Schizosaccharomyces pombe: one gene and its partner. The protein of the gene in region 2 interacts with the protein of the main gene of each other region in a pairwise test. Each region holds a gene or a part of one and is shown on either strand. Other genes may lie near its edges. The genes, in order: phx1 and mrp17.

The links.
Region 1: the proteins of mrp17 (region 2) and phx1 interact in a two-hybrid assay, tested with the Schizosaccharomyces pombe proteins (one large-scale study listed by BioGRID).

The regions. Positions count from the first base shown.
Region 1 is NC_003424.3:2,447,832-2,460,386, reverse strand, and holds phx1 (DNA-binding transcription factor, stationary phase-specific Phx1), read left to right. Parts: upstream 1-3,868; 5' UTR 3,869-4,839; coding exon 4,840-7,668; 3' UTR 7,669-8,594; downstream 8,595-12,555. Other genes in the region: pth2 (aminoacyl-tRNA hydrolase), read left to right, coding at 1-47; trp2 (tryptophan synthase), read left to right, coding at 636-2,729; SPOM_SPAC32A11.02C (uncharacterized protein), read left to right, coding at 9,884-12,439. UniProt on the Schizosaccharomyces pombe protein: Trnascription factor that regulates the expression of the homocitrate synthase (HCS) lys4.
Region 2 is NC_003424.3:1,646,607-1,657,518, reverse strand, and holds mrp17 (mitochondrial 37S ribosomal protein bS6m), read left to right. Parts: upstream 1-3,662; 5' UTR 3,663-3,729; coding exon 3,730-3,795; exon of another isoform or gene 3,796-3,912; coding exon 3,913-4,163; intron 4,164-4,212; coding exon 4,213-4,231; 3' UTR 4,232-4,537; coding exon of another isoform or gene 4,538-5,392; 3' UTR 5,393-5,442; coding exon of another isoform or gene 5,443-6,130; 3' UTR 6,131-6,177; coding exon of another isoform or gene 6,178-6,334; 3' UTR 6,335-6,377; coding exon of another isoform or gene 6,378-6,507; 3' UTR 6,508-6,596; downstream 6,597-10,912. Other genes in the region: methylenetetrahydrofolate reductase Met11, read right to left, coding at 1-1,280; UBX domain-containing protein Ubx3, read right to left, coding at 2,003-3,235; mug28 (RNA-binding protein Mug28, implicated in mRNA processing), read right to left, coding at 4,538-5,392, 5,443-6,130, 6,178-6,334, 6,378-6,507; pls1 (phospholipid scramblase), read left to right, coding at 6,762-7,907; vma1 (V-type ATPase V1 domain-containing subunit A), read right to left, coding at 8,304-10,060, 10,103-10,202, 10,258-10,260.

The DNA of each region.
Region 1 (12,555 bases), 800 kb from region 2:
CTGTCAGCGTAATCAATGAGGTTACAGGATCTTTAAAATTATTCTGAGAAATCTAAAAAATGTACCAAAAGGTGATATTTAATGCAACAAAATATGACAAACTTTTTTGATGGATTGCTATGTAACGCCAATACTCTTATTTTTCGACAGGCGAATTGTCTGTGCAATCAGCTTCCGTTCTGTAAAAACTGTATATATTTCTAATAACAATGAAAGTCAGCAACCCCAATTCTCATTTACTTACATTTGATTAATCTAGACATTGATGTCTCAGGTTGATTCCGTTCATTCATAACAAAATTTAGTATCAACTAGGCATATACTTTTATATTAGTAGTAAACAGCTTACATTCAAGTGAAGTTAATGGTGAAGTCGAAATTTAACTTTTTAGTTTAACATCCATCCACCTGAAGGTAATTTGCCCATGAACTTACGAAATTTGGTTCAATCTGCACCACAATTGCAGGCCTTAACGATTTTATAATGTTTTGAAACTTAATTTAGTTATCTATAAAATTATTTGACTTATCAATATGGTCATCTTCGTTTGAAATCTTAACGATCTATTCTGTCGGTCCCTCCAATCTCTGTTCCACCGCCAATATTTTTTTGACTATCGCAAAACTCATGAAAAATGACAGAGCAGATTAAAAAAACGTTTCTCAAAGCAAAAGAAGAAAACAAAAATGTTTTAGTGACATTTGTCACTTGCGGTTTTCCTAATGTTGATGAAACTATCAAAATTATGCAAGGTTTGCAAAATGGAGGAGCAGGAATAATTGAGCTTGGTATTCCTTTTTCTGATGCCGTCGCTGATGGTCCTACAATTTGCAAGGGAAACGAAATTGCTTTGAAGAATAATATTACTTTAGAAAAAGTATTTGAAACTGTAAAGCTCGCTCGTGATGCAGGTGTAACTATCCCTATAATTTTGATGGGTTACTACAATCCTATTTTCAGTTATGGAGATGCCAAAACTATTCAAAAGGCAAAGGAGGTTGGCGCTAATGGTTTCATCATCGTTGACCTTCCTCCAGAGGAGGCTGTCGGCTTTAGAGAAGAATGTAAAAAGCAAGGTGTTAGTTTCGTTCCTCTTGTTGCTCCTTCTACTACGGACAGGCGTATGGAGCTCTTGGCCTCTGTGGCTGACTCCTTTATTTACGTTGTTTCTCGTATGGGTAGTACAGGATCATCTGCTACCGGAGTAATCAATACTGCTTTGCCTCAGCTCTGTCAGCGTGTTCGTAAATTTGCTGGAGATACCCCTCTAGCAGTTGGTTTTGGTGTTAACACCAGTGAACATTTCCACCAAGTTGGCAGCGTGTCAGATGGTGTTGTAGTTGGAAGCAAAATTATCGATTTGATTTTGAAGGCAGAGCCTGGCACTGCTGCTACCGTGGTTGAGGAATATTGTAAATATCTTACTAAAGAAGACCCATCCGCACCTGTACCTAAACAGTTTCAATCCGGTGGTTCTGTTGCTACTGCCCCCCCTGCTGCTGTGGTCGAACCTATCAACGAAATGTATCTTCCTCAAAAATATGGCATGTTTGGTGGTATGTATGTTCCAGAAGCATTAACCCAGTGCTTAGTTGAACTTGAAAGTGTATTTTATAAGGCTTTGCATGATGAAAAGTTTTGGGAAGAATTTCGTTCTTATTATGAGTATATGGGTCGTCCAAGTGCCCTCGATTATGCTAAGCGTTTAACTGAGTATTGTGGTGGTGCCCATATTTGGTTGAAGCGTGAAGACTTGAATCATGGTGGTTCACACAAAATTAACAACTGTATTGGGCAAATTCTTCTTGCCAAACGTTTAGGAAAAAACCGTATCATTGCTGAAACTGGTGCTGGTCAGCATGGAGTTGCTACTGCTATCTGTGCCGCTAAATTTGGTATGAAATGTACTATCTACATGGGTGCAGAAGATTGTCGTCGTCAAGCACTCAACGTTTTTCGCATCCGTCTTTTGGGAGCTGAAGTCGTTCCGGTTACTTCAGGTACACAGACCCTTCGTGATGCTGTTAACGAAGCTTTGAAGGCGTGGGTCGAACAAATAGACACCACTCATTATTTAATTGGATCTGCAATTGGCCCTCATCCATTCCCTACCATTGTTAAAACTTTCCAAAGTGTCATTGGCGAGGAAACGAAAGCGCAAATGCAAGAGAAGCGTAAAAAACTTCCTGATGCAGTTGTTGCTTGTGTTGGTGGTGGATCCAATTCGATTGGAATGTTTTCTCCCTTCAAAGCCGATAAAAGTGTAATGATGTTGGGTTGTGAAGCTGGTGGTGATGGTGTAGATACCCCCAAACATAGTGCTACATTGACTATGGGAAAAGTTGGTGTATTTCATGGAGTTCGAACATATGTTCTGCAACGCGAAGATGGACAAATTCAAGATACTCACTCTATATCTGCTGGATTGGATTATCCAGGTGTGGGACCCGAATTATCTGAACTTAAATATACCAATCGCGCAGAGTTTATCGCTGTCACTGATGCTCAATGTTTAGAAGGATTCCGCGCTCTATGTCATCTTGAAGGTATCATTCCCGCTTTGGAATCTTCTCATGCTGTGTATGGTGGAATGGAGCTTGCTAAAAAGTTACCTAAAGATAAGGATATTGTGATCACCATTTCAGGTCGTGGTGACAAGGATGTTCAAAGCGTAGCTGAACAACTTCCTATTTTAGGTCCTAAAATTGGATGGGACCTTCGCTTTTAAGCAATGTTCTACTCACGATTTTCTGATTTATATTAAGGCTCCGTAAACTTAAGCGGAGTTGCGATCTATAGATATACAAGCATCGCATGCGATTAAACTTTTTTATACCAAAACATATGTGTATTTCTTTTTATCTATAAATATCATTTCAATTTTGCTTCTACTATTTACTAGCCTTAAATAGCGTTGTAGTCATGTAATAACCTGTACATAATACTGTACTTATTTACCTAATAAAGGTTTTCTGTGGATTTAATTTCTTAGGCTAATTTTTCAAAGGCTTAAGAGAATTATGTGTATGCTGAAGAAGAACATTCAACAAAGCGGTTTTCTTTAGTCTATGATTTTGAGAATCATGTCCTATTTACACTACAATGCAAGTGCAAAAAATGTTTTAAAACAATTTATCAGCACGAGCAAGATGTCGTAGTATTTTCAATTTATATGGTTTTGGCTTTTTAGAGTCGCGACATAGTCTATTAACATAAGCTTTAATCTTTGGTATATTAGCAAATCTTCCAGATTGAAGTTAGCAGTTTATGGAGAGAAAATAAAATTCTTTCTGTATATTCGCCTAATAAGACCACTCAAGTCTTTAGCACTGAATAATAAAAAGTGTCACAAATCTTTGAACTATGGTAAAACTCCCAATTACAATTACTTAAGTTCGCACTCCTAAAACAGCATTACCCGTAGAATAAATTGAAAAAAAAGTATAAAATCAAACAAGTGGTACAGATCAAATTTTTAAAAATTTAGTAATGTTTCTATGTTTTTATATTACAATATTCAGATAGGTAGTATTCTCGCTTACAGTTTAGACAGTAAATGTAACATTAGTGTTTCTCCACAATTCCCCACATAGTTAATAGTAAAGTTGAGGACAAAATTATGATTTATCTATATATTCTATGAATTACATATGACCCTAGATGTACCCATTCGACAAAAGTATCCTTCAAATAATAGGTCTTAAAAACAAAGACTTGCTCATTAGAAGCAATCGATCGTTCATTCACTTTACTAAAGGATTTACCAATATGTATTGGGGGCGTCGTTTCTAAGGCAAGGTAGTACGTTAGAGTTCGTAATATAATTGTTCGGTTAGTTAAGTGAAGAGCGATATGTGAATTAAAACCACCACATCAACCATATAAAAACTACATTATTTATGAAACCATAAGCATTCTGTTTAATTCATTAAATTAGGACAGAAATTAATTAGGCTCTTGCAAGGATCAAATTGGAGTGAAATTGCATCTCTTTACGATATTTCAAGTTGTGTTTTATTGCATTAGATTTAGAGGAGCAATCAGCAACGATCTATTAGCAGTGAACGTTAACGAATATCTCAATTACATTCGGATCTTTAATTATTTGGTTTATTTATTTTTTTAATAACAAAAAAGGGAAAGAAAAATTGGGGAAAGAGAAGGGAATAATTATATTGTTAATTTTGCAATATTTTTTATCATTTAATTAGCAAACTTTTATTATTTAATTTTTAGGCAAATTTGACAACTCATCTCTTCATTTAGTCAATTTTTATTTGTTTTGACATTTGTGAGATATCCAGGGATCGATAGCCTCTGTCTACAAAGGGTCGTGTCTCTTAGTTTTCGTCAATCAGTTTCTTTCAAGATCTAGAAGGCGTACTAATTATTTCTACTTGGAGACTTTAAAGCTTGGGTATTGCTTGTCCACTGTGCTTATGTATCTGAACATAGCTACAATCTCTGCTACAAAAGCTAAAGAGAGAAGTCCCCTCCAAGAAGGGATCAAATTTATTTCGTTAGGGTTTTCTTCTGGTCAAACTTTTTTTTGGATAGGATAAGTTTTTAATTACAATAAATTCAGCGGCTGGGGTTTCATAAGTGCCCCATATTTCGAGGGTACCAGGTTCACGTTTTTTGCGTCTCCTCAAGTACTCAGAGATTCCACGGAATTTCTTTCAATTTAATTTTTTTTACATCATTTTATTTCTCTGAGCTTTCTTTAATTAATCTTCCAAAGTCACCATTCAATTTGCATTTCTTGGCATACTTTTTGAAGCAAATTTTTATTTCTCATAAGGATTTTATTTTCATTTCATTTTATTTCTAAGAACAATATGCGTAGTTATTCGAACCCAGAAAATGGTGGTCAAATTAATGACAATATTAATTATTCTGAGAAGCGACCTACAATGCTCCCGGAGAATTTGTCCTTGAGCAACTATGACATGGATTCTTTTCTCGGTCAGTTTCCATCTGATAATAACATGCAATTACCCCATTCAACGTATGAGCAGCATCTTCAAGGGGAACAGCAAAATCCTACCAATCCTAATTATTTTCCTCCTGAATTTGACGAAAACAAAGTAGATTGGAAACAGGAGAAACCCAAACCGGATGCACCGAGTTTTGCAGATAATAATTCATTTGATAATGTGAATAGTTCGAAATTGACGAATCCATCGCCAGTTCAACCTAATATTGTTAAATCTGAGTCGGAACCTGCTAATTCAAAGCAAAATGAAGTTGTTGAAGCTACATCTGTTGAGAAAGCTAAGGAGAATGTCGCTCACGAAAGTGGTACTCCTGAGAGCGGCGGATCTACTTCTGCGCCAAAGAGCAAAAAACAGCGCCTTACTGCAGATCAACTTGCTTATTTGCTTCGGGAATTCTCCAAAGATACTAATCCACCTCCAGCTATAAGGGAAAAAATTGGACGCGAGTTGAATATTCCGGAACGTAGCGTAACTATTTGGTTTCAAAACAGAAGAGCAAAATCAAAGCTCATTTCAAGACGTCAAGAAGAAGAAAGACAAAGGATCCTTCGTGAGCAGAGAGAATTGGATTCCTTAAATCAAAAAGTTTCACAAGCATTTGCGCACGAAGTATTGTCTACTTCACCTACCAGTCCCTACGTTGGGGGAATAGCAGCTAATAGGCAGTATGCGAACACGTTATTGCCTAAACCAACTAGAAAAACAGGAAACTTTTATATGAAAAGTGGACCTATGCAATCTTCCATGGAGCCATGCATAGCAGAGTCAGACATTCCGATCCGTCAGTCTCTTTCTAGTACATACTACAATAGTCTAAGTCCAAATGCCGTTCCTGTCTCAAGTCAAAGGAAATACTCTGCCTCTTCTTATTCCGCAATCCCAAATGCTATGTCGGTATCAAATCAAGCTTTCGACGTAGAATCTCCACCCTCTTCGTATGCTACTCCACTTACAGGCATCCGTATGCCTCAACCAGAGTCAGATCTTTACTCCTATCCTAGAGAAGTGAGCCCTAGTTCTGGGGGTTACAGAATGTTCGGTCATTCCAAGCCTTCATCATACAAAGCATCAGGGCCTGTTCGTCCTCCTAATATGGCAACAGGGCACATGCGTACTTCTTCAGAACCGACCTCATATGATTCGGAATTTTACTACTTTTCTTGTACATTACTAGTAATTGGTTTATGGAAAAGACTACGAGCCTCTCCTCAGGATTTAATGTGTTTCTACTCTCCGCCAAAGAAATTATTTGCATATTTGATTCAATTCCAGGGGATTCAGTATCGTATTGAATATTCTTTTTTTGTCATTGAGTCGATACACGTTTTTAGAGTAGAGGAGCCCTTGTTAAATGAGTTGAGTGCAACTGCGTCTAGTCGAGATAAACCGGCACCAAATGAATATTGGCTTCAAATGGATATTCAGCTGAGTGTTCCACCAGTATTTCACATGATCACTTCCGAAGGACAGGGAAATTGTACGGATTTTACTGAGGGTAATCAGGCTTCGGAAGTTTTATTACATTCTTTGATGGGAAGAGCTACTAGCATGTTTCAAATGCTCGATCGGGTTCGAAGGGCATCGCCAGAGTTGGGGTCTGTAATCCGCCTTCAAAAAGGTCTTAATCCTCACCAATTTTTGGACCCTCAATGGGCTAATCAACTTCCTAGACAACCTGATAGCTCTGTATTTGATCATCAAGGAAGAAACCCTCCTATCCAGGGATTGTCTCATGACACTTCTTCTGAATATGGCAATAAAAGCCAGTTTAAAAGGCTTCGTAGCACTTCAACCCCTGCTAGACAGGATTTGGCTCAGCATCTTTTACCTCCGAAAACTAATACTGAAGGGCTTATGCATGCTCAATCTGTGTCTCCTATTACTCAAGCAATGAAATCTGCTAATGTTTTGGAAGGAAGTTCTACAAGACTAAACTCTTATGAGCCTTCAGTTTCATCTGCTTATCCGCACCATAATTTAGCGCTTAATCTTGATAACACGCAGTTTGGTGAGCTTGGCACATCTAATATATCATATCCTTTATCGGCACCATCCGATGTCGGCTCACTTCCTCGAGCATCCAATTCACCAAGCCGACCTGTGATGCATCCAAATACACAAGGTATTAACACGGAAATAAAAGACATGGCAGCGCAGTTTCCCAATTCACAAACTGGTGGTCTCACTCCAAATTCATGGTCAATGAACACAAACGTATCCGTCCCATTTACGACTCAAAACAGAGAATTTGGCGGCATTGGCTCTTCTTCAATTTCCACCACGATGAATGCACCAAGTCAACAGTTATCTCAGGTACCATTTGGAGATGTCTCCCTTGCTACTGAGAACTCTGTCCCGTCGTATGGATTTGAAGTACCATCTGAAGAGTCTGTTTACGCGCAAGCCCGTACAAATTCATCTGTTTCTGCTGGGGTTGCTCCTCGGTTATTCATTCAAACACCGTCTATACCTTTAGCATCATCTGCTGGACAGGATAGTAATTTAATTGAGAAAAGTAGTAGCGGTGGTGTGTATGCGTCGCAACCCGGAGCTTCGGGCTACTTATCTCATGACCAAAGTGGTAGTCCATTTGAGGATGTTTACTCTCCTTCTGCTGGTATAGATTTTCAGAAACTTCGTGGTCAACAATTTTCTCCGGACATGCAGTAAATTTTGTGATATGATGATTAACGGTACAATTGAAACTCGCTTGAAGCTTGCTTATTTTCGTTTTCTTTTGATAACGAGAAGATGTTTAACTCTTGAAAATTACATGCCTCGTTTGTATTTTTATGACCGCTTACGTTTTTATAAATTCATCAATATCTCTAAAAGGTTTAAAGGATTAATTTTTGATCTATATTATACAAGGTATTCTTGAATAATGTTTAATTTGGTGATAAAAATACAATTCCATGGAAAAAAATTGTGCTTCCATGTATTATTGTCTGGGAAGAACTTTGATGCGAAAAAAAAAATAAAAGACCTCTACAAGGCACTTCATATACGATTATGTATGGTTTATGTTTTTTTTACTTCTTTAATTTTATTTTATTTTATGTTCCAAAGCGATAGGAGGTATTACATATTGTTGTATCGTGTATGCAATACTTAATGATCCTAGCATTTCATTTGAAGAAACTCCGTCAATGATCGAATCCAAATTCCACTGAAAAAATGTAATGGAGTTTGAACAGTATCGTACCCACGAGCGTGAGTTGGATTATTGAGTTTTTGCATGTTTAGCCGACACATATTTTTTTGGCGACTTTAAACTTTTTTATTTACCATTTATTTCTCTTTTTAAGTTATGAATAATTTCTTTTTCCTCATGTATATTATTACTTTATTTTCATGTTTTTTTTTTTATTAATTTGACATTTAGGACGATTATTATTTTCGTTATTTCTCCTTTCCAGCGGGAACGTTTCAGCATCACAGTTTTTGCACATAAACTATAATAATTTTGAAAGCATTATGAGTTAATTTAGTAGAATTAGATTCTTTGAAACATAATCCATCAACGAAGCTGTCCGCCTTTTTTTTAAGAGGTGCATGCCATATATAGTCATTTTCTGTGTAAATAAACATTTCACTAGTAGATAATTTTTTGAGATGAGCAAAGAATTGAATGAACCAAAGTAATAATTGTTAAGATATAATATTAGAAAATTTATTTTAAAGATGTATATTAGAATGTATTTAGACTAAGCTCGTAATATATATTTTTTTCATTTTCTTAAAATTTATTTTGTTTTATTATAAGAATGAATTTATGTTTCATGAATGGAGAATATCAATAAAAAAATTGTTTGGAGGTGACAAATATATAAGATTTGCTTTTAATATCTATAAAATAATTTTTATCAGTTAGTACAAAAGTATAGGACAAAAATATGAACAATGATTTCGGGCGCCTACTTTGAAGGTGATGTTGTTTTTTGCTGATGCCTATAAGCTGAAGCTAAAGCAGCACACACCAGATTAGATAGATGATTGATTATACTGAAACACTCTAAGATACGGAAATTCTCCGAACAATAAGAAAGCCAAAAAAGAGAAAAAGAAGTGAAAGAAACGCCTTCCATATATCGATTGAACATTGCGACCAATCGATCAACTAACAAGAACAAGTAAGCCAGCCCAGCCCTTCTTCTTCCACTGTTTACCGAATAATGAAGAACAATATGTAGCAAGCCAGTAAATAGCGATACTTACTGCAATATATAACCACATCACATATTTAGCGCATGACGTAGTTTACTTCTTCAAACTACACTATAGTTTTGGACATGAAACGGTTGAACGTCAATATAGTGTCTTAATGACGAGAATGCACGTATTCTTGAACCTGTCATTACTAGAGTAGCCATTCTCATATGAGCCATTCTTTTATGAACAGGAGAGTGGATTGACACTAATACTTCGTAAGTAAAGATGATTATGCAAGTTTTCATGACGCCACAGCCTAATTCGAGTATGGCTGAGATAGTCATAACGTAAAGGCTTTAAATAAATGTATTTAATGTCGCCATGGTCCTATAAAGTTATAATCTTTGTACAGAATTGAAATAAAGTTGCGACAAGGAATTTTAGGAAAATAAAGCGAAACCATATATCTCTTTACTTAAGGAGGATTCCATCAAAGCGACATTTGATTATTTGTTTGATTGATCGCACTTGTGTGTCTGTCTATCCCATAACAAGAGGTTTTTACTGTAAAATCCTGATTTTGGAGTGCTGAAGAGGAAAGGATATCTTCAGTCTTGTTTATTTATCACTTTTACACTTGTAACCATCTGATATTAGCTGACGTGTCTCGCTTGTTACTATCATTAAGTGATTAATTGCTGCTAATCTTTTTCGCATTAGTCGTTGAGCAAGTATGGCGGTTGCTTATCCCACTGACAAGCATGTTGTGCATGAGGAAACTGGAAAAGGATTAGAAGTTTATTCAATATGGACAGCTATTTCGAACGGCAAGATGCCCTCGAACAAACAGCTTCGAGGGCTCGGTTCGTCGCTGACGGACGGTGCGAAATCCGTTGCCAAAGAGAGGCAAAAGAAAATCTCTGATCCGGCTCGGAAATTTTTTAGTGACTTTTCCAAGCTTATTGATAATAGCTTTAATGTATTTGCGAAAAAGAACGAAGGAGATTTGCTCCAAAACGCAATTTATGAATTATCGCAAGCTGAAGGCTCTACAAATGTTAATGAGGTTTGGAATGATATCACCGAAGATATGCAAAGTCAAGATTTCAGTACCGAGGACCTGAAGCAGTTGTTCTTGCTCATCTTTAACAATGGTAAACTGCGAACGCTTTTGCAAAACGCCATTGTACTTTTGGGCCAGCAAACAACGAATGTTGCCAGTAAAAAATTGAACGAGCAGGATGGAAAAAAATCGGATAACCTTCGCAATGGAGTGAACAAAGTTAAGCAAAACATGAGAAATGGAGCTTCCGCACGCGACCAAGCTCGCGAACAAGGAAGCAAGGCCAAAGATAAGATTAAAAATGATCCTGATGCGCAAAAGGCTAAAGAGGAAACCAAACAAAAACTTCAAGATCTTTACGAAGAGTTTAAATCTGTCGCTGTGGATTTGCAGGGAGATCCAAAATATCAGCATCCTGTTCGCAGTCTTTTGAATCTAATTGACAAGTTCATCGATAAACTCAGTGAACAGAGTGGAAATGTTACTGCTGACACTAACGAACATTACGATCGTGCTATGCAATATTTGAAGCAACTCGTGGAAAACATTTTAAATCGATCTCTTGATAATTTGATTGACACCTTAAAACAAGTACAGCATGATGCTGAGAATGATGAAGAACTAAAAGACTGGTTAGAATCTACCCGCCAGTTTGTTCGCAAGGTGCTTTTGAAAAAGGGCTATGCAAAAAGTGATGCCTCGGATAAAGAATTTAACAAGTTGCGAGATAAAGGCGATGAACTGCTTAACGGTCGGTACAAGAAACGTTGGCAACAACTCTCATCCGAAGTCAAAAAGATTTCCGATAGTGCTTCTTCCGACAAGGATGTCAAGCAATTATTTAGCAACTATAAAAATATATACGGCGATTTAATTAAGAGAGAAGGAGGACAAATCTCTTTGAAAACTTCCATGTGCCTGGAGATACTTCGATTGGGGGTACCCGTTATCTTGGAAAAGATGCAATATTTCCCAATACCTAGGTTGGAAATTGAGCAACCTGATTTCGACGTTGTTCTTGAAAACCTTAATTTACAAACCGCGAATGTTTTGCCCAAGTTAGCCGAATTTAGGAATAACAACTTCGTGAGGTTCTCCCCGTATGCTAATATTACTTCTTTCCGTGAAAACATGATAAACGTTCATCTCTCAAACATCCAGTGTGACTTAAAAGACGTCAACTACTATATTAAGCGCAAGCAAGGCTTCCCTACCTTTACTGATCTTGGAGTTGTCGATTTGTTAATTGGTAAGCAAGGCATGGTCGTGAACTTGACACTCTCATCATTCTCAAATACTATGTTTGAAAACGAACTTCCGGATTCCTTTTTTAAGGTGGAGGACGTGAAGGTGGACATACATCACATTAAGCTAAAAATTCGTAAATCAAGGCACAGGTTATTACTCGCTTTCTTAAAGCCCTCACTCATGACATACGTGAGATCTACCGTAGCAAGGTCCATGGAGCTTTCAATTCGTCATGCTTTTGAACAAGTCGATAGAGAATGGTACGAAATACATAAGGAAGCCAAATCTGAGATAGAAAAAGATTCTTCCAAGCCGACAGAAGATCAGGAATCAAAACTCAAGGTGTATGGTAGGGTGGCATATTCAAGGATTTCCAATCTTCATAAATCCAGTAAAGAAAAGGGTAAGGATTCTCAAGTTCGGGTTGCCCTGCACAAAGAAAATACTGCGCTCAATAACATAGTTTTGCCATCAGGTAATTTACAGCGTAGTGAGGAAAAGAGAAGGGCTGCGCTTTCCGGATCCACTTGGCATTCTCCTGCGTTCAATATATTTGGAGTCGATGATTCAGAAGACAGCGATAGCCCTTGGGCTACAGACAGAGGTTCTAGGCTTTATCAGAGAACTAAGGGTAGTGTCAAATCGCGTGAAAGTCGTTTGAAAAAAGAGAAGCATAAAAACCGTCCAGCTTCCAAGGGTACTTATACTACCTACACTTCTTCTGAAGAGCGCCAAAGGTCAACTGAGGATCCACTTAGTCATGACACTTTAAGCCGTACTATTTTGAATGATCAAATAGTGAAAGGAAATGTAACAGAAATTCCGTTACCTCCACTTGCAGTTAATGAGAAAAGAGCTAGCGTCGCTGTCTCTTCAATACCGAGTTTTGGCGACGACCAGCATGATATAGAATTATTAAATTCTACAGATCCCCGTAAAAACCGCATTTTGTATAATCAGCCACCCGCCGTGGCCTAACTTAACTAATGTGCGTGTCTTAAACTTACTAACCTTTTTCTCGTTGTTTAGTTTTAATTTGAGAACGAATTGTTATTATCTTTATTTATTAATCAAAATTTTTTTTCATTAATTCC
Region 2 (10,912 bases):
TCACTTGGAGGAAAGTGTAATGTTGGACCATAACCGTCAATTTCACCATATGCAGGGGAGCGTGGATCGCCAAAACGACCATTTGTAAAATCGTCCCAATTTGCTTGACGACCTAAAACTCCACTACCTTCAGAAACGGAGAACGGTGCTTCTTCGGTTAAATTGTCTTTGTGGCCAGATACACTACTTTGTTTAGAAGTTACGAAAAGATTCGACGATTTGTCGGCAACTGGTTGCTGAGAGGGAACAACTACTTGATTATGAAGTTCCGCGGGTTCATCAAGGCTAAGACGTTTGCGGGTTGTTCGAAGCAATTTCTCATCCTCCATCTCTGACTCAACCTGTTTCCAACGTTTGGTAAGCAAACCGCTGTTTTTAAGGATAAGAGCAACGGATCGTTCCAAATTCAGTGTGCAAAAATGAAATCCATGCACCCGGCCTTGCACATTGTCCATTATCTTTTTAATCATATCAACTATGTGCTCGACACCAATGTTTTTTATAGCTTCATCATCTGGTTTAGCTGCATTAAGGCGCTGCATTAAGGAAGAGGGAACACTGCAACCACAAAGACGAGTCATTCTTTTAAGACTTCCATAGGATTGAATAGGCATAATGGCGGGAATAATGGGAATATTTCGTAAAGCATTAGAGCTATGATTCCTAACAAAATTTTCAAATTTAATAAAAGCTTCGGGCTCGTAGAAGATTTGAGTAATTATGAAATCAGCGCCAGCTTCAACTTTTTCAATCAGGAAAGGAATGTCTCGTAACGGATCTTTAGACAGCTCCGGAACGTTGGAATCGACATGACCTTCAGGATAAGCAGCGACACCTATACAAAAGTAATCTCCATATTTTTCACGTATGTATCGTACTAAATCCACCGCGTGCTCAAACTCACTAACCTTTCCTTCCCAATGATCGCTATTTAAAGGCGGGTCACCTCGCAAGGCCAAGATGTTACGAATTCCATATTCCTTAGCAGTTTCGAGAGCCTTATCGATTATGGCTTTATCTACATTGGTACACGTCAAATGTAAACAAGCTGGGATTTTGTGATGCTGCTCTAGCATTTTGGCTAAATAAATTGAGACCTCCGCAGTAGAACCAGCTGTACCCCATGTTACACTAGAAAATAATGGCATCATGTTTCGCGACATTCTCGTTATACGACTAGAAAGATTTTCCAAACCGACTGTGGTTTTCGGTGGAAAATACTCAAATGAGTAGAATGCGTTTCCATTAGGAATTTTATCAATCAAATCAACAATCTTCATGATTGCTTAGGGATATCGAAGCAAAATTGAAGGTATTTGAGGTGTGCGCTTAGGAAATGCCCTCTTCGCGATAAGTTGAATCAAATCATGGATTCGATGTAGTAACGATTTCTTACAAATTTTGGTTAACATCACTATAAATACAATAACCCATAAATTAGTACTACACTAAACAATAGCAGACTTTGCTGCAATGCTTAACTGCTTGTGTCAAGGTTTACTGAACAGTAAAGACTAAACGTATTTGCGCAGAAAAGTTGGTTGATATTTCAAACTCCAACATTAATTATTGTTTGATGGGAATTACATTCATGAATAATAGTTTTTGTTTATGTATATCTTAGGTCAATTTGCTAATACTTAGTGCCACGTTGATAGCATATCATAGCATTTCTTTTAAAATCAATGTTTTCAAAAAGGTCCTTTGGTAACTACAGATGTTTATTAATAACCATAATAGTGATAACTTTTAATTCCGGTTTTCAACTATCTCTGAGCTACATATCCTGATATAACCAATAAAATACTCAAACTTGGAAATTGTTTTGATGATTTAATAGGACATCATTAAATAAATAAAAGGTTTCCTTTCAGAAATAGAAATCAGATTTCTGACAACCCGAAATATGCTTCCCATATTCAATAGCTCTCACATATGTTCATATAATAATCCACGGCTCTTATGTCAACTGGGGATCACTATTTTTCCTATTATTTTTAGACTACAGAGATTTTTGAACAAGTGAGGCATTTTTTAATGAAGCAGCTTCAACAGTGACAGACGGATCATCTTCGAGAGTCTTTGCGGGGAAAGGTACGGAAAGGATGAAGTTGCCTGGTGAAACGGCGCGTACAGCTTCATAGATATCATGAAGTGTATGCGAGAGATTGACAGTAAGGACAGTTCTTCCACCATTTGATAAGCGTACTTGAATTCTCGTGGTGGGTTTATTTTCGTCAATCTGTAAAGATGCATGCGGAGTTGTTGAATTGGGTTTGACATTTATAGGAACAGAGGAAGAAGTAGAAGTATCAGTGTAAAGACCACCTGGCATTTGAGACATTCGTGGTTGCATGTAGGTAGAACCGAGACGTTGTCCCTTGCCTGAAAAAGGTTTGAACGGCGCTACATAATCCTCATCCATCCGATGCTGAACTACAACATCAATTGGTTGATTCATAGATACTCCTAGAAGATGCAAAGGTGCTCGACCGCTATTTATATAACGCAACATTTCTTGATTAGCGGGATCGTCATATGTATAGATAGGACCATCGTCTACACTAAAACCATTTCGCCAAAAGTACAAAGTACGACGTAAAGGCTTTTCTGGTTGACTCTCAGTAGGAGGATTTTCACGCGGAGGACCTGACTGCGTTACAGGAGTGGTCGAACCAGAAGCCTCATTTTCTGTGCCTAATCGTTGTCCGACACTAGCCCAAGACGATGCAAGACTAGAAGGACCTGAATCTTGCTCATCTAAAGGAGATATTGTGTGTTGACGTGCCTTTTCGAGAATATCGCGCACCAACTGTTTCTTTGGATCAGGATCACCGTCTTCTACAGAAAGCCCACTCTTCTCACCACCAGTAAAGAGATGTGATTTCTCTTCTGCACTTTCATCATTTCCCTCTAAATCCCTAAGCGTGGCGAATTTTTTTGATGCAGTTCCTGACTTCATTCCTTGGCCTTGAGTATTTTGTTGTCTTTGCAACGGTCGAGGTGGTTGTTGATCACCACCACTGATTCCACTTGAGCTTCCAGTAACTTCAGGAACTTTCGATACATCACTGGAAGGTTGCAACCCATGGTCTTCTTCAGGAGGTATTACTTCATGTAAAAGTGCAGTAGCCAATTCATAATTCCAATTCGTGGACTCTAAAAAAAAACGGCCCTGACTAACGTCAATATTATTGCGATTGCAAAATTCCTTTAAGATATCTTCCCTATCCATTTTACTTCTGAAAAAAAGAGAAGAAAGATTTCAAGTTCTGTAGTGTTTTTTTTAGCTGTAGAACAAACAAGTAGAAATGTGAAGTCAATTGATGACTAAAACGTGTTTGACTCTTTCGATCAATCTTCTTTCAAAAAAAATCAAGATTTCTTTGATGATATACTGCTAATAGCTGTAAATATCCTTTGTTGGTAACTGCTTGTAGTTGGTAAATTTCACGTTCATCTAATAAAGAGAATCTTGCTAAATAAGTTAAGTAACAAATATACGACCCAAACGTTTCGTGTTTTTCTCCTTTACGTTTGCTTTATATTTACTTTAATGTTAATATATTCTTTTCTTTTTAGACTGTAATTTACGAAACAGAAGTTTTTAGTGCTTAACTCAAACCTCTTCTTTTCCTAGCGTACCGCCAAACCTCTCACTTACAGACGCTAGTAAAAAGGTCACACGATAACAAGCACTCTTGATAGTTTGAAAAGTATAGCAATATAATGGTTATGTATGAACTTTTTTGTATAACTAGGCCAGCTGCAAATGCAACACGCACTTCCTCACCAGTAAGTTAGCGGTAATACCTCGTTTTTGCTTTTTGAAGAACCACAAAGCGATAGTCATTATCTCATTACTTTCTAGATACTGTTTTACAATTTGAATTCATGAACTAATAAATTTAGACTCTGGCCATGAATATTGCCAAAAATTGTGGTCGAGCAATCCTGGATAACAAAGGTGTGGTCGTTGATGTTGAGTCCATGGGACTTAAGGAACTGGCTAAACCTATAAAAAAACTAAATCAATCTTACTCTTTTGGTCACTGGTGGTCTATGACCTTTTACAGTAACCCCACAGTTCAATCTGAGATACAGAGGATTCTGAGACTTGAACCTTCGGTTCTTCGCTATATGATCGTCAAAAAAGCAGATAAGTATGTTCTTTTTATAAACTATTTTATTATACTAATTCCTTTTGTGTAGATTGAGTGATTTAATGTAGAATGAGCGTATTCATATTTTGAGAAAATAAAAATATTCGCAGAGCTGTCCAATTATCTTTTATTATTCTTGTTTTTTTGGGGTTTTTTCTTCTTTTCTTCTTTTATAAAATAAACATACTTTTCCAGAGCTAAAATGTGAAATTTCAACCGTTGTTAACGACTCCTTGTGTTTCAACTTTTTCCGATCTTCTTTGTATAATACTATGTCCCTAAATTTCATGGGAGATAGATTAAAAAAAAGAACTGTTAAAATATTTAAACGACAGGTACTGATATTATGTCCTTTAGACATATCTTGCTTTTATTTATTGGTTTAATACAATGTTGGTTAAAGGCGATAGTGAAGTTTTGAATGTGGAGTGTTTTATGCCGAATTTATGGCTTGGGTTTAGGTTTTCGTTTGAAATCACCGCTTCACGTAGCTTAGCGGCACATGAATCTAAACGAGTTGGTAATGTTTGTCTAGGATCGCTATACCCGTGCTGCTGTATAGATTGTATTAGAGGTTGAGGCCATTCCTGATGATACTCTAAAATTTGTGGTTCAGTAGCCATTGGAATTGTTAGAGAGGGCGATGGAACAACTGGAGGGTAAGATTGGCTAAATATAGCACTCAGTCGCTTTTTGCGATCTTCTCTCTTTTCTGCATAATTCACGAATAATCTTTTCTTTCCGAATAACACTCCATTTAACGTGTTAATTGCTTGCACAGCTTCAAATGGATGACTGAAGGATACGAAACCATAGCCTTTGGATATTTCTGTACTGGGATACGACGCTAAAGTGCAAGATTTTATCCTTCCAAATTTCGAAAACAGTTCTTCTAATTGTTGTGTGTTTCCTACTATATTATCATCCAAGTTTTTAACAAATAAATTACAAGGATCAATTGTCGGTGTTGAGGTTGGTGTTGGCGTTACTGTCGTTTCATACGATGTTTGGAAAGAAGGGAATGAAATAAATGGATTTGGCAAAGCAGAAGTTTTGGCAATCACTGGAATTTCAAACGGCTGAGGCATTTCCATATTTGGGGGCAATAAATTTGTCATGGTTCCTTCTGGGTGATTTAACAAATTAGAGCAAAATCCCTGAACAGGTTGTTTTATAAAAAGTTGTAAAATGGATCCTTCATACGCAATGGCGTGAAATTTTTCAATGATCTAAATTAAAAGGTCAGTAATGCTATAGCAAAAAATAGCTTGCTTAATACCTCTATGCAACTTTCATAGGTGCTCACAGCCACTTCTGCGTAGTGAGTCATATCTTCATTTATGCTTTGATTGATGGCTACACCGAGAATGTGACCATGATTGCTAAACTCATTGTAAAGCTCGACTGGTGATACTTTCAACGGAAGGTTTAAAATCCCAATCACAAAAATAGAAGGGTTGTCGTACAAAAATTGGGGATTCTGTTCTAGAAGCATACCTGGCATCATTTGACAGGGTTCAAAAGCAGATTTTAGGTGTAAATGTTCCGTGTTATTTTCCTTATATGGCTCAATAAAAGTGTTAGAAATGGACGGTGTATTATTATCTTTGCAATTTGGCCTGATAGACAGATGCTTTGGCTCATTCTCCGTGAAATCTGAAACTAAGAGTGTTTGAACTGCTTTTGAGCTAAGTATACTAGTTCCTGTTGCTTCTGCAAATGCATTCTCTTTGTCGTGCACTTTTGGGGGGTTTGATTGAACTAAATTTGAGGTATTCATCGAATATTCCTTTTTGTCTTTGGTACTAACTCGAACCTCTGATACTGTCGGTCGTGTTTCCTTTGTATACTTTTCTATTTTTGAAAACCGAATTTTTGCTTTTTCATTATTCGAGTGATGAATTTGGTCAACTCCATTTTCCAACTTATTTTTGTATCTCTCCACGATATGCGTATACTCGACCTTCCTATAATTGTTGCTCTATTAGCGTTTATTATTTTAAAATCTACGTACAAAGTATTTCCTTGGAACGAACTCCCGTTTAAGGAGGCAATTGCGTTGTCAGCGCTACATTTGTTTTCAAATGTGATAAATGCAAATAAAGTTGGGGATTTAGAGTCAGTACTCTTATTCTTCTTTCTACTTAGCATGTGGAATTTTGAGAAATTACCTTAAACAGTTAGAGAAAAAATTGTTTATTCATATACGATTACCGAAAGGTTCAAACAGTTCATGAAGATCTGAGCTTTGGCACGTTGAAGGTAAATTCCCTACGTAAATGGAAATTTCACACTTCTTAGTGCTCCTTTTGTTCTTTTCTGAAAGTTTTTCAAGTGCAATCATTGTGATGTGTCTAGTTGGTAATTATAGAATTCGGAATTCTCAATGTAAACAAAAGTAAACAGGAAATTACCGCAATGTTAGCTGTTCATAAGCAATTTAATGTAGTATCCTATATTTCGTAAAGCTTTAAGGTAATCGCATAGTATGTGCTATTTTAAATTGTGAAACTTACTACACAGCCTTTATTACATATTTGTCTCAGCAACCCTCTGTGGTATAGGTGAACCACAAACTAATTTTAATTTCTCAAACCTATGCTTGAAATTCTATGGGCTAACATTACTCCAATTCAAACCTTTGTCTCCAGTAATCATTTAACTATGCTTTATGGGCTCAAACGGTTTGGATGTCGCCTTTATCATCATAGCAAATCTACACGATACATTGACGCTACAGCGAAAGTAGTCTCTCAAGAGCCTGCTGCCATTAGCAGTACTGGAGCTATTCCATTAAATTCTCCAGCGGCCCCTTTATTATCACAAGATGTTCTTATAGTAGAGAGGCAACTTGAAATGATGAATGTTTTTCTTGGTTATGAACAGGCTAACCGCTATGTAATTCTTAACCAACAAGGTCAGCATCTTGGATACATTGCAGAACAGGGTGCCTCATCCATATTATCAAGTTTATCAAGACAATTTTTCCACACACATCGTGCGTTTAAGGCAGATGTAATGGACAGTAACGGCCAGTTGGTGTTACAACTCAATCGACCATTTTCTTGGATAAACTCCCGGTTACAAATTCATTCTATTGATTACAGTAAGTTCTCGTCTACTTTAGTTGGCGAAGTCCTTCAAAAATGGCATTTATGGCGCCGTCGCTATGAATTGTTCCTTGCGAAGCGTTCTATGTTTGAACAGTTTGCCAAAATTGATGAGCGAGTGCTAAGTTGGGAGTTTCTGTTGCGAAACGAGCAGGATCGCATCCTAGGTAGTGTTTCACGGAATTTCATGGGGCTTCCTCGTGAATTTTTTACTGATACTGGTAATTACGTTCTTCGATTTACCTCTACGAGTGCAGCCAATGGTTCTGTAAATGAAAATCAATTGCTTCAAGCTGCTCATGGAATCGCTAATGATGTTTGTGCACGTGATATGAGTTTAGAAGAAAGGGCAGTTATGCTAGGCAGTGCTGTCACTATTGATTTTGATTATTTTAGCCGTATTCATGGTGGCCCAGCACTGGGACTGAATATTCCGTTTATGTTTGGAGGTTCTTCCTCCAACCACGATTATCCAGCTGAAGACCTGTCTGCTCAGGAAATTTTAAAAAACGACCAGGAAACTACGCCTTCCACCAATGATTCTTCATCTGAAACGAAGTCTCCTTTTTTGTCTGATGCAGACTTGGATCAGCAAGATTTTTGGGATATTTTTGACCGTGACGGGGATGATTGATTGTTCAACTGATTATTATTTATTTATTAACGATATATCCAAAAAGATACTTTTTCTCCTTAAAAAGTTAAATCTGATTAGTCATTACTATTACTGTTTTTATTATTATTATTATTATTACTATCCCTTCTAGTCATTATTTTGTTTTTCTCATAATTTACAACTACTGACTATATCACTGAATTTATTTCTTCAAAAGAGTTTGTTGAAGACGGCTTGTATTTGTGTAAATATATTATTTCGAGAAGCGGTTGATTCGCGATTTAATGTGCAAAATTACTTAGGACATATATTTGGATAACGTGAAAGCAATGTTTACTGGAAGTCTGTATTATCAAGCTAGTAGTCTATAGCCAGCAAAAACTAGAATTAAAAACTTAGTTGTTCAAAAAATAATTACTCAGTCAGAGTGTGAAACTTGTCCTCAATCTTCTTGTGCAGAGTTTCATAGTGTTCGACTATTTCCTTCTCGCCTTCATTAGGGTTTTCGAATTTCATCGAGGTTAACTCATAAAAGATATCTGAAGTACTTTCTTTAATCTTTGACCAAGGAACGCTACCAGTTTCAACGGCACTTTTAGCCTTTGTGTAGTAAGCAATCATGTTTCGCATCATATGATAAGTCTTGTAAAGAGGGCAACAGCGATCGTAATCAGAATAACCGTTTTGTTGTAAGAAGTCATTCTTAATAATACCGGCTATGTCCAAAGTAACTTTATCCGTTTCAGAAAGAGCCGACTTACCAACCAACTGAATAATTTCCAACATGGAATCTTCTTGTTGAATGATCTGTTTGATTTGATCACGAAGAGTATTAAAGCCTGGAACTCTTTCCTCATACCAAGGTTGCAAAGCATTGATGTATTTAGAATAGGAAAGAGAGGTGTTGATTGAGGGAAAGTGTTTACGTTGGGCCAATTTCTTGTCCAAACCCCAGAAGACTTGAACAATTCCCAAGGTTGCACTAGTAACAGGATCAGAAAAATCACCACCCGGAGGAGAAACAGCTCCAACAATTGAAACTGTTCCTTCACGGTCAGGACTTCCCAAGCAACGAGCACGACCAGCACGTTCGTAAAAAGAAGCCAATTTGGCACCCAAATAAGCGGGATAACCAGAATCGGCAGGCATCTCAGCCAAACGACCAGAAATTTCACGCAAAGCTTCAGCCCAACGAGATGTAGAATCAGCCATCATTGAAACGTTCTTACCTTGATCACGATAATATTCAGCAAGTGTAATACCGGTATAAATGGAAGCTTCACGAGCAGCGACAGGCATGTTAGAAGTGTTGGCTACCAATGTAGTACGCTTCATAATGGGCTCTGGTTTACCATTAATATCAATTGTTAGTTCTGGGAAATCCATTAACACTTCTGCCATTTCGTTTCCACGTTCACCACAACCGACGTAAACAATCAAATCAGAATTAGAGTACTTAGAAAGAGATTGTGAAATAACTGTTTTACCACAACCAAAGGCACCGGGGATAGCAGTAGTGCCACCTTGAACACAGGGGTATAACGCATCCAAAACACGTTGACCAGTCAATAAAGGTTGATTAGCAGTTAAGTTGTCCGCAACTGGACGAGCAGCACGGACAGGCCAAGTATGCAACATACTAAAAGAATGTTTCTTGCCATTAAACTCGACTTCAAGAAGTTTTTCATCAACATGGTATGATCCAGCTTCAGCAATATATGTGACGGTACCACGGGCTCTAGGGGGTAACATAATTTTATGATCATTGAAAAGAGAGTTTTCAAATACAGAACCGAAAACATCACCACCGGATACATGATCGCCAATGCGTAAATCCTTATTTGGTGTGAAATCCCACTTATGCTCACGATTAAGTGATTCTGTATTAATACCTCTAGGAATATAAATACTTTGAGATTTGTCGAAAATTTGCTTTAACGGACGTTGGATACCATCATAAATAGTCTCAGCTAAACCAGGACCTAATTCAACAGATAATGGCTTTCCAGTGCGTTGGACAGGATCACCAACAGTGAGACCGGACGTCTCTTCGTATACTTGAATAGTACATTTATCTTGATGGATACGAATTACTTCACCAACTAGTTCTTCATGACCAACGCGAACGAGTTCGTACATCGAACATCCAAGCATATTGGCTGCAACAACGACTGTAAATGTTTAGTAGAAAGCTCCAACTAACGATTTCTTACCAGGACCAGAAACGCTGAAAATAGATCCATATCGGTTTTCATGCTCGTCGTAATTTTTGAGGCTCCTGATAGCCTTCTTGGCCAGTTCAATTCCTCCCGCCTATCAAATTTGTTAATAAAAAAGAGGACTAGAAGTATTCAGCTAATTATCTTACCATCTTCTAATAATATATTTATTCTGGTGGAGTAGGTAAAGGATAGGCGTCTAACACTTTCGTTGCAGTAACGAAACGCTACATTCAATACAACGATAACCTGTAGGTCATATCGGTAAAAAGATCTTTACAAATACAAAGCCCAAACAATCGCGAATAAATAAATTATTCAAGATTCCTTGCTAAATAATAAACGGAATTTATTTATGAGTAATCACTACGGTTTAAGTTTGCTGTGAAATGTTCACACTGTATTCAATCTATTCATCTGTGCATTCTCGTGTAGACACATACCGATGGAGTTTTTTTTATATTTTGCAGAAGTGGAATTGATTATAAATTGGCACATATCACAGTGACCTGCTAGAAATGTCAGGAGCTTTACAAAGGAGCTAACAAGTGCAGTGAATTACAAGTGTTCTCCACATTAGATGCCTATTATTAATATAGTTAAAATTAGATAACCAGCGGTAAGATTATAAAACCAGGATTTGACTTCAACTACAATTTTTGCATGTTTGATGCAGAATTGTGTCAAACCAAGATTTTACAAAGTCACGCATTAAATATCAAATTAATGAGTAGAGATTTCACATTTCCAGTTTTTAATTAATCATTAAATATGTATTGGCCTTAATGAAATCATTTGAGAAAT